Linked DNA regions of Struthio camelus. The protein of the gene in region 1 interacts with the protein of each later gene in a biochemical or structural test. Links are inferred from orthologs where the notes say so. Each region holds a gene or a part of one and is shown in the gene's direction. Other genes may lie near its edges.

The links. The genes of interacting proteins can lie anywhere in the genome.
Region 2: the proteins of UPF2 (region 1) and UPF3A form a complex in vitro, tested with the Homo sapiens proteins (2 studies listed by IntAct, with this or other methods). The link is inferred for Struthio camelus from reciprocal best matches to the Homo sapiens genes UPF2 and UPF3A.

What each region holds. Positions count from the first base shown.
Region 1 is NC_090942.1:7,365,997-7,373,488, reverse strand, and holds the start of UPF2 (regulator of nonsense transcripts 2), read left to right. Parts: upstream 1-4,254; 5' UTR 4,255-4,354; intron 4,355-4,640; exon of another isoform or gene 4,641-4,769; intron 4,770-4,786; exon of another isoform or gene 4,787-4,935; intron 4,936-7,492. UniProt on the Homo sapiens protein: Involved in nonsense-mediated decay (NMD) of mRNAs containing premature stop codons by associating with the nuclear exon junction complex (EJC).
Region 2 is NC_090942.1:156,043,399-156,051,006, reverse strand, and holds the start of UPF3A (regulator of nonsense transcripts 3A), read left to right. Parts: upstream 1-4,557; 5' UTR 4,558-4,586; coding exon 4,587-4,835; intron 4,836-7,118; coding exon 7,119-7,225; intron 7,226-7,608. UniProt on the Homo sapiens protein: Involved in nonsense-mediated decay (NMD) of mRNAs containing premature stop codons by associating with the nuclear exon junction complex (EJC) and serving as link between the EJC core and NMD machinery.

The sequences.
Region 1 (7,492 bases):
AGGAATAAAAGACCAGATTAATTGTGTGTTAGGTCTTCGGGTACTGCAGGCGCCTTTTCTCCTTTGTATATGCTCAGGCTGTTTCTCTCATCCTTTCAGAAGTATGTTCTCCTCTCCTGACCTTCCCTGTGAAAAGGCCGCGACAGGGTCAACCAGCTACGTGATCTCTCACCGTTTAATCTCGACCCACCCGAAGCGCCCGTCATACGCTGGGCTGTGCTTAAACTGGGAAGAAGACGTGTTCACCTCGGCGCCTCGGGAAAACGCACCACAAAATCCAGGAGTTAGGTTGGACGTGAAACTCAAACCAGCAGCCTAAGTTCTATTTTACAGCTTCTAGTAATTTCCTTCCCCTTTTTTATTTTTTCATTCATTCTGACTCCTCTGAGCTAAAACTTGTTCCTGTTCTGGGCTGTACTTTAGCGCAGGATGAGAGGGACTGATAGAAAATCCAAGTTGTAACAGAATCTAAAAGCTTCATCTAGACTTTGTATGAATGCAGACCTGGGAGGCAGGGGTGCTGCAGGCGAGAGTTACTTTGTAGGTTGCCTTCACAACAGGGAACTCGAAAAGCCTATTTTTCTTCTTCAAATCAAACAGTGATTATATGGTTTTGAGACAGGTGGAACTGAATTTTGCAACTGAATTACTTAACGGTGCCATAGCTGACCAGGGATTTTATGATATTTACAGTTCTGGGAGATGGGCCGTTTGTATTCCTTGAGGCCTGTATGGGGTTGGGTTTATATGCAGATCTATAAAAGCCAATTTGGGAGGAAAAAGAAGCGAATGACCTTTAATGCTGCAAAGAAGGCAAACGGATACTGCTATAGAAGGTTAGCTGAAATGTGGCCAGCCGAGTAAAGCACAGTAGAAATGTGGCTGTAGGTATTATTTTTTAATGTATACTGAGAACAAAGGAACCTTGAAAATAATGTTGCTCCATCGCATGATACAGCAAAGTTGACGATAAAGAGGCAGAAAAGGTTTGTATCAAATATTCCTGTACTGCACTTGGGAAAAAGACAAATATTGCAGACAGAACACATGATGAAATACTTTTCCACCGTTCTCAAGCAAATATTTGTCGACTAGCTGATACCAATGTTTTTGCTGTAAAGCAGATAGAGAGCTAACTGAGTCTTTCTCTTCTCAATTAACACTGATATGAATAGGTTTGAAACACGAAACACCTTCCGAATAAGAGCACTAATGCTACCTAATGTTTAGAAAGAACTAAATGAGGTGGTTTAGTAATAGATTGTCAATCCCAGGGAAGTAATTGAATGTTTGTATATACAGGTTTACTTATTGCTTTAATCAACCCTAAGCATGAATTTATGGAATAAATATCTCATCAAATCAACCTTTTTGTTTCTGAGAGGCAAAGCTCGGTAGATAAAGATTTAAAGTAATGAGTAGTACTTTGCAGACTTTTGCCAGCGTAATCATCTTGCCTGGGATACAACTACACATGGCCAAACTCCTGCTGTGATTACATCTAGGTCGATAGGAGAGTGGCTTCATTGGCTTTGGTTCATGTCTGAGCGTGAGAAAGTGGTACTTATGCCAGCAGAAACACCGCTTCTGTATTCATGTGCCTCGGCTCCACGAGGGGACTCTCCTGGCCTGGCTGTGCTGGCAGAGACCAGGGAGGCTGTCCGAGGGACTGGTGGGACTGCTGTATGGGACTGATTCAATACTACCTGATGCCCTGGCTAAAGAAACTAGGAATGGTTCAAAAACAAGGCTGTCTGCATTAAGTAGTATAAAACTGTCTACCCAGCAGATCTAAACTTGTAATATTTTAAACAGAAAATCATTATCCACTGGGGGTATGTCTAAAGGGGTTCGAAAGGAGTTGTGGTCGCTGGCACTCAAGTAGTCATGTCAACCTGAAAGGCCTTCCCACAAAGTAAGTCCTGACAAAGTCTGTCAGCTGGAGGTAAGTGATGAAGAGAGGCTGTCTTGGATCTGAATCTCATACTGACCTCATACATAAGCAAATGAGATTTATTTTAACGGAATCAGACATAAGCTTGTATACCTGGAAAAAAAGAATGTGCACTAAAATGTAGCTCCTTCTCAGGAAGCAGTAACTGTATATAATCTCTAAAAGTCACGGGAATAAAACAGATGGGTCTGAAAAAGTTATGTGAATATCAGCTCATTTGGCAAAAGGATCGTTTTCTGGATTTGACTACAAGGCAATATTGAGTACACATACGGATTCTAGTTTGACGTTAATGTGATTGCTTGCTAAATATTGTGTCCATGTTTTGTACCAGTAATTCAGGAAACATTGAAAAAATTGCAAGAAGAGCTTCAAGAATTAAACAATTGAAAAAGGTGCTTTATATCTGAGACTCAAGCAATGACCTCTACTTAGTTTTCTTTTTGATTAGCAGGAAGACTGGATCAGCTTGTAAGTAGGCACCTATGAAACAGGTACTTCATAAGGAAAAGCTTTTTGTCCTATCAGACAAAAATTGAGCCCGGTTTACCTGCACCGTCTTTACAAGAGACAGTTCCAGCATAGCTGTGGTTGGTGGGGAATGTGGGATAGTCTCTGGAAAGAATAAAGAAGGAGCTATTGTTTGCTTTCAAAATTTTAGTGACAGTGCATTTTATTCATGTTAGACAAGGCAGCAATGTCATTCTTCACAAGAAAATAAGCCAATATTGCTTTGGTGTCACGCCGTTGAAACTGAAATTTAAACCTAAGATAACACTGAGCCTGCCTTCTCGAACTTGAACAAAACAGCTCACTCAAAGGCATTCGTTGACAAGTTATATGCCTGGTGTATTTGGAAAATGAAGCACCAGCAATAACATGTGGATATCTTTCCCATTTAATTTCTCTTTTTTGTTGCTGTTTTTTGTTGTTGTTGTCTTTCTGTTTAGCACAGATTTCTTCTCCGTTCTCATAAGTCAGTTCAATCAACCTGGTAAATCAACATGATTTGGAAAGTACATAAAATCTTTGAGAAGCAAAGACACTTGATTGATCTACATAAATAACAAGCATGACTTCATCCTTTCAAATATTCATTAATAAACTTTTCCAGAAATACATTTTTAGAAATGTCTGCAAAAATGAGTAATGAAGGAAGAAGGAGGAACAACAGGAAAGAGAGCTCTTTTCTGGAAGGAAAAAAAAAAACTATCTGGTGCTGTAACGATTGGCAGAGTATACCTAAAACTCTGCATCATTACACATTAAACGTAGCCTTAAATTTGGGCTGACTCTTGCTTTTGAATAAAAGGTGGCTTTAACAGCTGAATAACTTCATTATGCACATCCAGGCCTGGGACTGATGTCACGGTCAGATATTTTTGTGTGCTCCTCCTAAGTCTAAAGGGGTGTAAACACTGCCGTAAGGAAGCAGAGGCTCATATCAGAAACCTCCGTGCTTGAAATAAGAATCAGGATTGTAACTGTGAACTATACACCAGATTCATGTTCTTACATTCTGGATTGTGCAGAGTGGAATTTTCTAGCTTGGCCTCATTTGGGGTGGGATAATAGCCAATAGCATGGCCGGACTCGCAGATCACGAGCCTTTCAAGTAAATTTGGAGTTTCTGTGCAACTAAATTAACAATTGTAAACGCTTTCATACATATTATCCAGACAGTAATATTGATACAGCAGGAAGACACAGCGGAGATACCAGAATTTTTCAGTCCGTTCTGATAACTCATAATAGGATAGTAGAATACAGAAATGAGACAGTTATTTTTGTTGACTCATTTTAATATCAGGTCAGATCAGTCATACGTTTCAACGCTTTGATGTATACTTAATTTTTTGCTTATGGTTCCCCTCCCTGCAGTGCATCATCCAGGAGGCATCAGAACAAAACTGTGAACAAAAGCATTGTTATATGTTAGCCCTTAACATATGCCAGTCTGAAGTTTGTGTTTGACTGATTAACGTAGAGCTGTTCTGAGAGCGTCTTGGAGCTTCGAGTACTCGCAAAGACACTATTCTACGACTGTTAATCATCCAGTAGAAAGTGATATGTGTTATGCCGTAAAATACAGTAGGAAGGAATACGTATTACGTCGTAAAACGCAACAGAGAACATCCGTAACATCGTCTGACCGTGTGATTTGACTGAGTAGGATGCCACCGTTATTGCTGTTTTTCCACCGCGGTATCGGCGGAAGAGCTCTGGTAAAAGCGCCGCGCTCGGGTGCCCTAGGCAGGCAGGATCATTTCCCCAGGACTCCGCCATCTCCTTACGAGAGATACCAACGAAACGACCAAGGCTCAGGGAGAAACCCGCATTAACAGGCACGCGAGGATCGTTTTAAAACAGCGTTAAAAACAGCGTTATCCTAAGGGCAAGGTACCGTTTTGACCCCGAGGCCGATTTTTCGCTGAGAGCTCATGCTTATAATTTTAAATGCGTATGTGTTAATAGTTTAAAAAAAAGGGGGGGGGTGACGGCAGCTGTCAGAGCTTAACGATGAGGGAAGCCCCCGACGCGACGGCGGCCGTGACGCAACGCACCGCCTCCCGCACTGCCGAAAGCGACGTCACGGCGGTGACGTCACGGCGGCGCCGCTGCGGAAGGGCCGTCGGCCAGCCGGCCCCGCCCCGCCCTCGGCCACTTCCGCCTCCGCCGCCCCGGTAACGCGAGCGGGGCTGCCCGCCGCCCGCCTGCAGGACCCCGCCCGGGGCTGCCCGCCGCGCTGCCTGACGCCGGCCGCTGGGAACGGCCGCTGGCCTAGCGGGCCGGGGCGGGGGCGGCGGCGGCGCGGGTAGGCGGCGCGGCGCTTCCTTGTGGGCGGGTGGGCGGCGCGGCGGGGCGAGGCGAGAAGAGCGCGGGGTCCTCGTGCGCCAGGGGAGGGGGCGGCGGCGGCGGAGGAGGAGGAGGAGCGGCGGGCGCTCACCGGCAGGCCGCGCCGATGTTTGCCCCGGGCGGAGGTAGCGCAGGGCGCCCAGCGGCCCTGGGCGAGAGGGTCCGCGGCGCGGGGAGGGGGGCGGGGGCCGTGAGGCGGCGCGGGGTAGCGGCTTCCTCGGCGGGGGGGGCCGTGAGGCGGCCCGAGGCCGGTTTCCGCAGGCTGCCGCGGGAGCGGGCAGGGCAGGGCAGGGCCGCGGAGGTGGCTCGGTGGTGGAGGAGCTGGTGCGCGCCGGCGGCGCCCGGGGGGCGGCGCGGGCCGCTGAGAGCGGCTCGTCTTTGGGCCTCCGTTCCCCGGTGAGAGGGGTCCGGCCGCGGATCTGACAGCAAAATATCGGCTCCGAGCCGCCTGGAATCGAAAGTAAAACTGCCCAGCGGGGTGGGCAGGCCTGCTGCCCCGCCAGCGGGCAGGGGGGCTTCTTCGCTGCCACTTCCTCTCCTGTCCTGCCTCTCATCTTTCAGAAACTTACGGCTGGGTTTATTTTCTTCTCGTTGGCCGTGATCTTTTTCTTATCTTCCTTGTCTTTAGAAGAAACCGGAATTGCTTTTCAATTCTGGAAACTTTTAACACGCTGAAAAACCTCCAAGTGTAAACAGACAAATCTCGTCCCCTTTAGAAAGTGCATCACCCGACACTTGAAAGTGGGACCCCTTGCATGCGTTGTTTGTCTCTCTAACTTGTTTTCTAATAGAGTAGCTGCATAAAGGAATACTTACGTGGTTAAATTAACTTCCAATAGCAGTACAAAAATAATGGGAGAAACTTTAGTAAAGCAGGCACTCCTCGTATCTGATGTTTGTACAATGGTATTTCTCCTCCCATGCGTGTTTTGATAAGGATTGCAATTCCGATTCATGCAGTTGCAGTCTCTCTGTGATAAACTTCTTGTAGATGTGAGAGAATTAAGCAGTTCAAGGCAAGGTGGCAGTGTTTATGCTTTGTGGTTACATTAGTGATGCTGATCTTTAATACTTTGTACAAACCTTTGGAAGCCTTGAGAATAAGCCCTTACATTGATGTTTTCTGTTAAGTGTTGCCTAATGCCATCAATTTTTCGTAGAGTGAGATCGGTGTGAAAAGCGGAATAGAAATTCCAAAACAATAAATAGCTCTTAATTAACCTTGAGTTCAGGCAGGAAAAATAAACATAGTTTTCACTTAAAAAAAAAAAAAAAAAGCATCTATAGGTGATTGAACTAAGATGATAGAGGTTCAGAACTTCTAAATGTCACTACAGATATCAATGGCAAGTGGTCCAAGAGCCCATTGAACTCATGTCTTTTGTCTTCTCTGGTCTAATTTTGAGCTGTGAAGCACCAGTTCCTCCTATCTGTTGGCTTCTGACGTTCATTTCTCCTCCTTTCCTTTTCACCAGTATGCTCACATAAGCATTAGGTACTACATAGAAGTTCCTTTTTTTTTTTTCCAATAATTCCTTAACATTCCCTTAATTTGGACCCAACTGTGTATCTTCAGCCTATCTTCTTTCATAGGTTTCCTGTGAAAATGGGACTTAGGTGAGCCTGCTGCCTGTCCATTTCTTTTTTTCCTCTGTATCTTATAACTCTTGAACCTTTTGGCCAGTTTCAGCTGGATTAGACAGCTGAAAGTTTCAAAGGTATAACCTTTCTACAGATCTTGTGATAATCAATGGCTGAGAAGAACAAAAAAGACTTAAAATAACATGCACACTGAGGGAAAGGCTGCAGCATACGTTCAATGAACAATTCTGTTCTGTCTTTGCTGTTAGTTGGCACTTGCGCACTGACCCGTGAATCAGTGTGTGTATAGCTTGGAGACAGCCACCACGCTGGCTGCTTCCTGCAGTCAGTAGTTGGTAGATATAAAGAGAGTTGGAAGAACAGTGGGAAGGTTTGGGGAGACAAGAGCTATACACAGCGGGCGGCGCAGAGTGTTGCAACGCATATTTGTTCTGTGATATATGACAGAAATCCATTAGAAAATAGGTTTCTTTGGCATGAATGTTCGGGGGAGAGGGAAAGATGATATTGCTTTGGGATCGAAATCACACTGCACCAGATTATGCTCCATTCCTTTTCTTTATTGCATCTTCTCTCTCTCGCTTGTATAAAAGCAAGACTCAAACATCCCTTTAAAACAGAATTGTGAGTTTATGTAAGTGATACGAGGAGGAGTACTGCTTTTAGTAAGTGACCATGATGCTAAAAAATGCACATGTAGCTGTTTGTTTTTTTCCCCAAATTATAATTAAGTTGCTCCATGACCAACAGGTGAGGAACAAAGATAAAAGCCAGAGCAGTGGAATTGTAACATGTTTTTCCAGCACTTCTTTAATCAAACAGCCATTTTTCCAGCGTTTTCCTTTTGAACTTAGCTGCAAGTTTATCTTTTGGAATCTAACCCTTTTTTTAAAATGAATATGTTGCTCTGTTTTTGTGTTTAATTAGCTTCTTGGTGAACATAAACATTTTATTTCATAAAGCTTTTTTAGAGAGTCCCATGCAATAGTCTCATGGATATAATCTTACTAGCATGATGTTAAAGTGATGTTTGAATGCTAAAACTTTCAAACCCTTTGTTTAAAAAGGGTGGGAGGGGTA
Region 2 (7,608 bases), about 150 Mb from region 1:
GAATTTTTGCTGTCATTCTTTCTCCCTCCAGCAGCGCATTTTTCTTCACTAACAGTTCTCTTAGTGCAGACTTTAAACAGGCAATGTTGAACTTACTTCAAATTTTGTTAATAATTGAATATTGCATCACTGGTTGTTACTGTGATCTTGTGATCTCTTCTGGGTGTGTGTGGTTTTTTTTTTTTTTTTTTTGATAGATATGGCGCTGCATGAACTGGAATATAAGCTGCCTCTTATTGTCCAATTACATCTGTCTTATGACTCACTCAGTTTTCAATAGTCAGATTCTGTATCCTAAGGACTATGCTGTTGCTAGAGACCCTTTCATGGACGAAGCAGTGAGGTGGGAAGGTCTGTGTTCCTTTGTTTATCCTAGCACCCCCATTAGCTGAGATGAGTCACTAGTGAGGACACAAATACTAATTTTCTTTACTTTACTTGCTGGCTGCTGCTGCTCTACTCAGCTAGACTGTTGGCTGTGCCTGGTTACATCTTGGTTCTTCAACTCTTTTCCTGGTGTCTTATGAATCCTCATCTGGGTCAGGGAGACCTCTTTGCATCAATATAGGCTGCATACATCATTTGAGTCCAGGATGGTGGCTGCTTCCCTCATGTCCCTGCGTTATGGAACATGACTATACGTTCTCTATACACTTGCATTTTAAAACTCAAGGCTACTGGATGAGGAAGATTTAGGGAAAGAGTTTGTGTTTTGGCCAAAATTCCACGAACTCTCAGAACTGATACTCGAATGAAATCTATCTGGTCCCATAAGATCCCCTTGTTTTCCTGTGCCAACATAGCACTAGCACTGCCTGGTTCTGTCTCAGTGGTACCGTGAATTGGTCTGTGACGCCCCAGAGGGAGTTTAACATGCTAGAGTAACAGTTCTGTGTTATGGATTGAAGTATTTGAGTCCAGCACAGAATTCGATACTAACTTCATATTTCTTTAGACATTAACAAGTAAGGAGAATGAAAATGGTTTACTTTCTGGTTCAAAAACACTTCATCCGAAATTGCAGGATTCTCTGAAAAAGAAGGGATATGTCCTACACTCCCCAGGAGGCAAAGTGAAAAGATATACCTGCACAGGGTGTGGGGGAAGAGACTCATTCAGGAAGTGTCTGTGTTTTCTGGCCGGTGTCCAGTCTGATTCCTTCAATGTAGCTAGATAAAAAGCTCATGAAGAGCTTTCTTTTGGTATCTGATAGTTTACGTGTAGTTCAGATGGCTTCTCATATGCAAGGTAAACTGGAAGTTTTTCTTGGGAAGATTAGCTAAAACTCTGAAAGTGTGCCTCAACAGCCATTGTATTAAGTCTCATCCTTTACAGGATCTTTCAGTAGTTTGTTGTTATCTTCTGGCTCACGTATACTGAATGCTTGTAACCAAGATCACGTTGTGGATAAAGAGATGGCAAAGGCTTGTTGCTGCATACAGAGCAGCCTGAAGACTATCACCAACCGTTTCTCAGAGAACTGAACTGTTTTTTTTCTCTAGAAGATTCTCTCTTTTTTAACACTAATTTGGGTAAATCTAGTTTTCTAGGTTATCGTGACAAGCTATTTCCATACCCAAGTTGCCTAAAAAGTCTTCTAGCAAATGAGGCCTTTTGTCTTATGTCAGGCATGGGTGCAGGACTCATGTTGTTTACTTGTTCCCATGGTGTTTTTATTACCATTGACAAAATAATTTAAAACACTGGTAAAATTTCATATTTTTTCTTGTACTCTCCAGTCATGATTTGATGATACATTGGCTCTGATGACAACACTGCTTTATAGTATTCCTGCCCTGCCCATAAGAATCTACTTTTCCCTGTGCCACTACCTCAGCTGTGGTAATTCAAGTGTTTGTGAGGTTATGTTATGAATCAAATCAGGGAACTTGATTTGATTTAAAAATCTTTTCTTCTCAGTTCTCAGGTTCAAAGATAGCAAACAACTGTTTTAGCATTTTCAGTGGGGAAGAGTGGTAGGAGTGGGAAGGAATAGGTGAAATACCTTAAATGGGTATTGCTGGAAAGACAACGTATTATTACACTGTGCTGTCGCAGATTTCTGCTGAAGTATTTTGGCTGGCTGTTGCTGGCTTGCATTTGTTGGCATTAAAAGTTACCTAGAAATAGATGTATGCAAAGTGTCCTAGATTGTCAATGATTTTTCCTGGACAACATCAGAGGAATTATTGGTATGACTTGTCCTGCCTCCCAGCCTGTTAGGCAACTACAGTTAGGTTAGAGCTTGCGAGATGACTGATGATGCATGTCTTTTGTGCACACATGAGGGCATCCCCTCATCTATCTTCTGTTCAGTATGTTGATCTGCTCTTGTTTTATCCAACTGTCATTTCCGTACCTGCAGCTCCAGCTATGCTCTAGTGTTCTGCACTTCCCAGCACCTGTCCTGCCCTTGCCTGGACTCTACGTACTAGATAGCGCTTATTGTCTTTCTGGGTTATTCTGTTATTCTGATTTTCAACCCGCCTCTAGTCAAACTGGGTATTTTCCTTGTCCTCATGAGGTCTTTGATTACTATTTCTGGCCTCACTTGCCCTCAGGTTCTTTTGACTCTTGCTTTTGGTCATTGCCTTAGTTAGCTTTGGCAAGTGGGTACAAGGTCCAGGTCGTGGTCAGGTTGAGGAGACTGTCAACATGTCCCCACAAGAGACATCCTCTCTCTGTTTCATAACCTAATCTCTCTCCTGCAAGGATCAGTTTTGTCCCAGTTTGAGGTGGGGGTGGGGGGAGACCTGGCTGTTGCCTGCAAGCTTGTCAGACTAGGTCTTGAAAACCCACAAGAGATTTCTGTGGATGGTCCTAATTGACTCCCATGCTCTTCCCAGCTACTATAGGCTAAAAGATTTGAAGAGGAATAACACATTAGAGTTTGCTTGGCCAATCCCACCTGCTTTTATCTTTAGAGCTGAAAATTGCCTCTTAGGATCAAAGGTGAGGCTAATGGGATGATTGGAATATCCCATCCTAGGGATAGTGTGGTCAGGTTTCTTATTCATGAAGCCTGACAGACCAGTGTTGACAAATCAGACTTCAGCAAACATCAGAAAATGTCCTCCAGGAAAAGCCGTCACCTGATTTCCAATTATGACGATGAACTATAGCCACTGGTAGTAGACACAGAAGGAGGTTAAGATGGAATTATGATTCTGTTTTCAGCAGCTTCAGTACTGAGTTATTCCACATCAAATCAGCTACTATTTGTTGTTGTCATGTTGTGGACATCTATTTGAGGACTGACAATGCAGCATCGGCATCGGAAGATCAGTGTTGACCCTGTGTATTCTGCATAAATTGTAGGCATTTTTGCTTATTCTGTCTGTTTTCTGTTGCTTTAGAGGAGTCTAGTGGTATGCCTATGACCTATGTATGACCCACAGCCATTCTTCAGTTTCTGTGTCTCTGTCACTAAGCCTAGGAGAAGTAGTCTAGGACATCCCAAATCATCCAGGAGTTTCCAGAAACTTTTTAGAACTAGAAATCATAAAATTGCACTATTGCAATCCAGGACTGAGTAATCCTTGATCTGATGGATGGGTCACTACTTCTAGACTAGCTACATGGAAGATCTATTTCACTTTGTGGTCTCAGTTCAGGGACACCTTGCAGGTGAAAGATTAGTCTGAAGATAAATTAATATATATTCTACTTGTTCTTATCCTTATTCTACTCATTATTGGTGACTTCCCCAGTGACTTTGCCATGGGCAGAGATAGGATGGTGGCATTGTCTGAATCAGTATAAACATTTTTATGTTCTTATTTGATGTCTTCTTATTATTTGATAGGATAAATCAAATGCCAAATATCCACCAATGCTTGAGAAAATGTATTGGGAATGATGCTGATGTGACTGTCTGTGGGAGCTAAAGCACTAGGTGAAATCCTGGGAGCTCGTCAGAAGGGCGCTGAAATGTCAACCAGAACGACTCCGGAGCCTGCCGCATGGCCTGAGAGGTGGGTGCTAATGACATGTTGCCTGACTGTAGCCAGCGCTTCCCTAAATTGACAGAAACTCTCCTTGGGCACAGGACTCGTGACCTGACCTAACGGCCTCGTTTCATCCCTAGGACCTGCCTGGATTTCCAGCCCTGTGTCCTGAGCCTCAGCAGGCCCCAGCCCCGAGGTGGATTGCACGTACGCCATCCCGCTGCGCAACGGAGAGGCGAGGCCGGGGCAGACAGAGGCCGGCAGCCAAGTCTCAGCAGCCAGGGCGGCGAGGTTCGCGCCCCGGCCAGGGAAGGGGACAAGTTTCTTTCTCATCTCCTTCCCACAGGCATAAGTGGGACTTGTGTGGGGGCTCCTGAAAGTACCCATGCCAAGGAGGAGGGGGATGACGATGAGGGTGAGGATGCGGACGAGGACGGGGATGGAGAGGATGAGGACGGAGATGGCGCTGCCCGTCCCCGCCCCCCCCCCCCCCCCCCCGCAGCGGTGACCGTTGAGGTGCTCGGGCGGGGTTCTGGGGCAGCCCGCTCCGCCCCCTCAGTGAAGTCTCGCGAGATTCCACCCGGCGAGCGGCCAGTTCTCGCGAGCTTTGCGCCTGGCTGCGGCGGCGGCGGTTGTTCCATGAGGTCCGAGCGGGAGGCTGGGCCGGGACCAGTTCGAGGTGGCGGCGGCGGCGGCGGCGGCGGCTGTGGCCGGGAGAAGTGGCCCATGGAGGTCCCGCTGAGACGAGAGTCGCCGCGCCGCGAGCCGGAGGCTCCGCCAACGCCTCCTCCCCCGCCGGGGCCGCCGCCGCTTCCCCCGCCACCGCCGCCGCCTCTTCACCCGGCGCCGGGTAAACAGCGAGAGGAGAAAAAAACGGCGCTGAGCAAAGTGAGGGGCCGCGCGGGGGCCGCGGGGCGAGCCCGGGGGCTGTGCTGTGCCTGGGGGTGAGCCTAGGGCTGAGCCGGGGGGCTGGGGGCGTGCCTGAGGGTGAGTCTCGGGGCTGAGAGTGTGCCTGGGGGCCTGGGGATATGCCCGGGGGGTGTGCTATGGGGCTGGGGGCGTGCCTTGGGGGCAAACCTGGGGGCTGGGGATGTGACGGGGCGGGTGTGCTATGGGGCTGAGAGCGAGCCTGGGGGCTGGGGATGTGCCGGGAGGGTGTGCTGTGGGGCTGAGCGTGTGCCTGGGGGCCTGGGGATACGCCCGGGGGGTGTGCTATGGGCCTGAGGGTGTGCCTTGGGGGCAAGGCTGGGGATGTGCCGGAGGGGGGTGTGCTATGGGGCTGGGAGCCAGCCTGGGGGCTGGGGATGTGCCGGAGGGGGGTGTGCTATGGGGCTGGGAGCGAGCCTGGGGGCTGGGGATGTGACGGAGGGGGGTGTGCTATGGGGCTGGGAGCGAGCCTGGGGGCTGGGGTTGTGACGGGGGGGGGGTGTGCTATGGGGCTGGGAGCGAGCCTGGGGGCTGGGGATGTGCCGGGGGGGTGTGCTATGGGGCTTGGGGTGAGCCTGGGGGCTGGGGATGTGCCGGGGGGGTGTGCTATGGGGCTTGGGGTGTGCCTGGGGATGTGGCTGGGGGGTTGTGCTGTGGGGCTTGGGGTGAGCCTTGAGGCTAGGAATGTAGCTGGGGAGTTGTGCTCTGGGGCTGGGGGATGTGCTGTGAGGCTGGGGATGTGCCTGGGGGGTTGTGCTGTGGGGCTGGGAGAGAAGTCTGGGGGCTGGGGATATGCCTGGGGGATGTGCTGTGGGGCTGGGGATATGCCTGGGGGATGTGCTGTGGGGCTGGGGATGTGTCGGGGGGTGAATCTGGGGCTGAGGGTATGCCTGGGAGGCCAACCTGGGGCCTGGAGACAAGCTGGGGGGGCATGCCTGGGGGTGTGGCTGGGGGCAAGGCTGGGGCTTGGGAGTGTGCCTAGGAGCTGGGGGGAGGTGAGCCTGGGGGATAGGTGTGCAGGGAGTGGCGTGCCTTGGGATTGATCACTGAGCAGGGGGCATCAGGAGAGGCACAGAAGAGGTACATAGAGGGGCTGAGGAGTAAGTGCGGGAGTAAGGGTTGTTTGGGAAGGGGTCTGGGGACGGGAATAGAGGGGCAAAGGGGGATGGGCATGATTGAGCCAACTGGAACAACCCCTGGGGCAGGTGAGCAGACAGAAGTATTTGCAGGTAAGGTGAGATGGAGAAGTGCAGAGGAAGGCAAGGGCAGGGAACATGGGAAGACTTACTAAGAAGCGTTGGGCGATGTCCAAGGATCAGAGGAAATTTGTAATGAAGAGCATGGCCCAGAAAGGCCCATAGCTTCTATTCTAAACACTGAGGCTAATTCCAAGGAAATACAGCATTTAAACATCGTCTTTGTTTCATCATCAGCAAAATGAGTGTTCACTTTCTTAAGTATTTTGAGGACCTCAGCAAGAGTGCTGCAAATTTGCCTGTCTTTTCATCTTTCGTTCTTTAAAAATTTAGATTGACTAATATAGTGGCAGAGCAGGTCTTAAAAGAACAAGAGCACTTCTCTCTCCATGGTTTTATTTGAGCATCTTTCAGAGAATACTTATATAGAGTACTGTGAGATTTGTTTTATTCCCTTTTTCTAAATGGGGAAAGGAAAGCACTGAAGGTCACCATGACTTAAAGTTAAGTCAAGTTCAGATATTACTGAGAAATAGAAGTACGTTATCTGAATCTTGATGACCATTTCACTCTTTTCTATACTGTCATGAGAGTTTTCATGCAGTCTCAGACACTTTATTCTGGAGTGAAGACTTTGGACGATGTACATAAAATGCTTTTGTAATAAAAGACTTAAAAGTCAGTTTAAACAAAATCATTTTGTAAAGAGAGAATGCAAGTATTTTGTGTGGTCAATATTTATTTTTTTTCCCATTTGTTAATATTTTGTGTTCTCAGCCAAATTACAGTGACTTTTAAGCTCTTCATCAGAATGTTTCACTTATGCTGCAATTTTACGGTGTTAGTCTGTTGTTCTATACGTTTTATGTAGCAGAAAGTGAGATAGGTCAATTATTCCTTCTGCCAGCAAGTATAAGAAAGTAAGTCACTAGGAGGCTAGTGTTCCAATTTAAACTCCCAATTTTAAAGAATAATAGTACGTGATATTTAGTCTCTTCCCACAGTATTTAGATCAAAGATATTTGTCCATTTTGTTTTATATGCGCAGGTAGTTATTCGCCGGCTTCCTCCTTGTCTAACTAAGGAGCAACTAGAGGAACAGCTACATCCTCTACCTGCCCATGATTATTTTGAGTTTTGCACTGCTGATCCCAGGTGAGGATATGCTGTTGGTCAGTACTAAGTAGAAAAGAAAATGTTTGTACGAGTTTTCAGGTACTTAAAACCCAATTAAAGTATTTTGGATATAGTCATGTACCAAGTTGCATATTTTGTCCCTGGAGCCCTTACTTTTTGTTGGTGTTAGTAGTTATTCAAAATGTTTTTGAGAACAGAGATGCATATGTAGAGACAAGGGCATTCCTGCCCTTTCCTTTTACACTGCTGATTTTAAAACAGAAAATTGTTGTTCTGTGAATAGGGCGTAATTTTGTTCAAAATTCTCATGTTTCTTTTAGCCTTTATTGAAATGGAACACATTTCTTCTGAGCCACTTAAATTCCTTTTGTGACTGTTGATCACCTGTGAGAAAGACGACC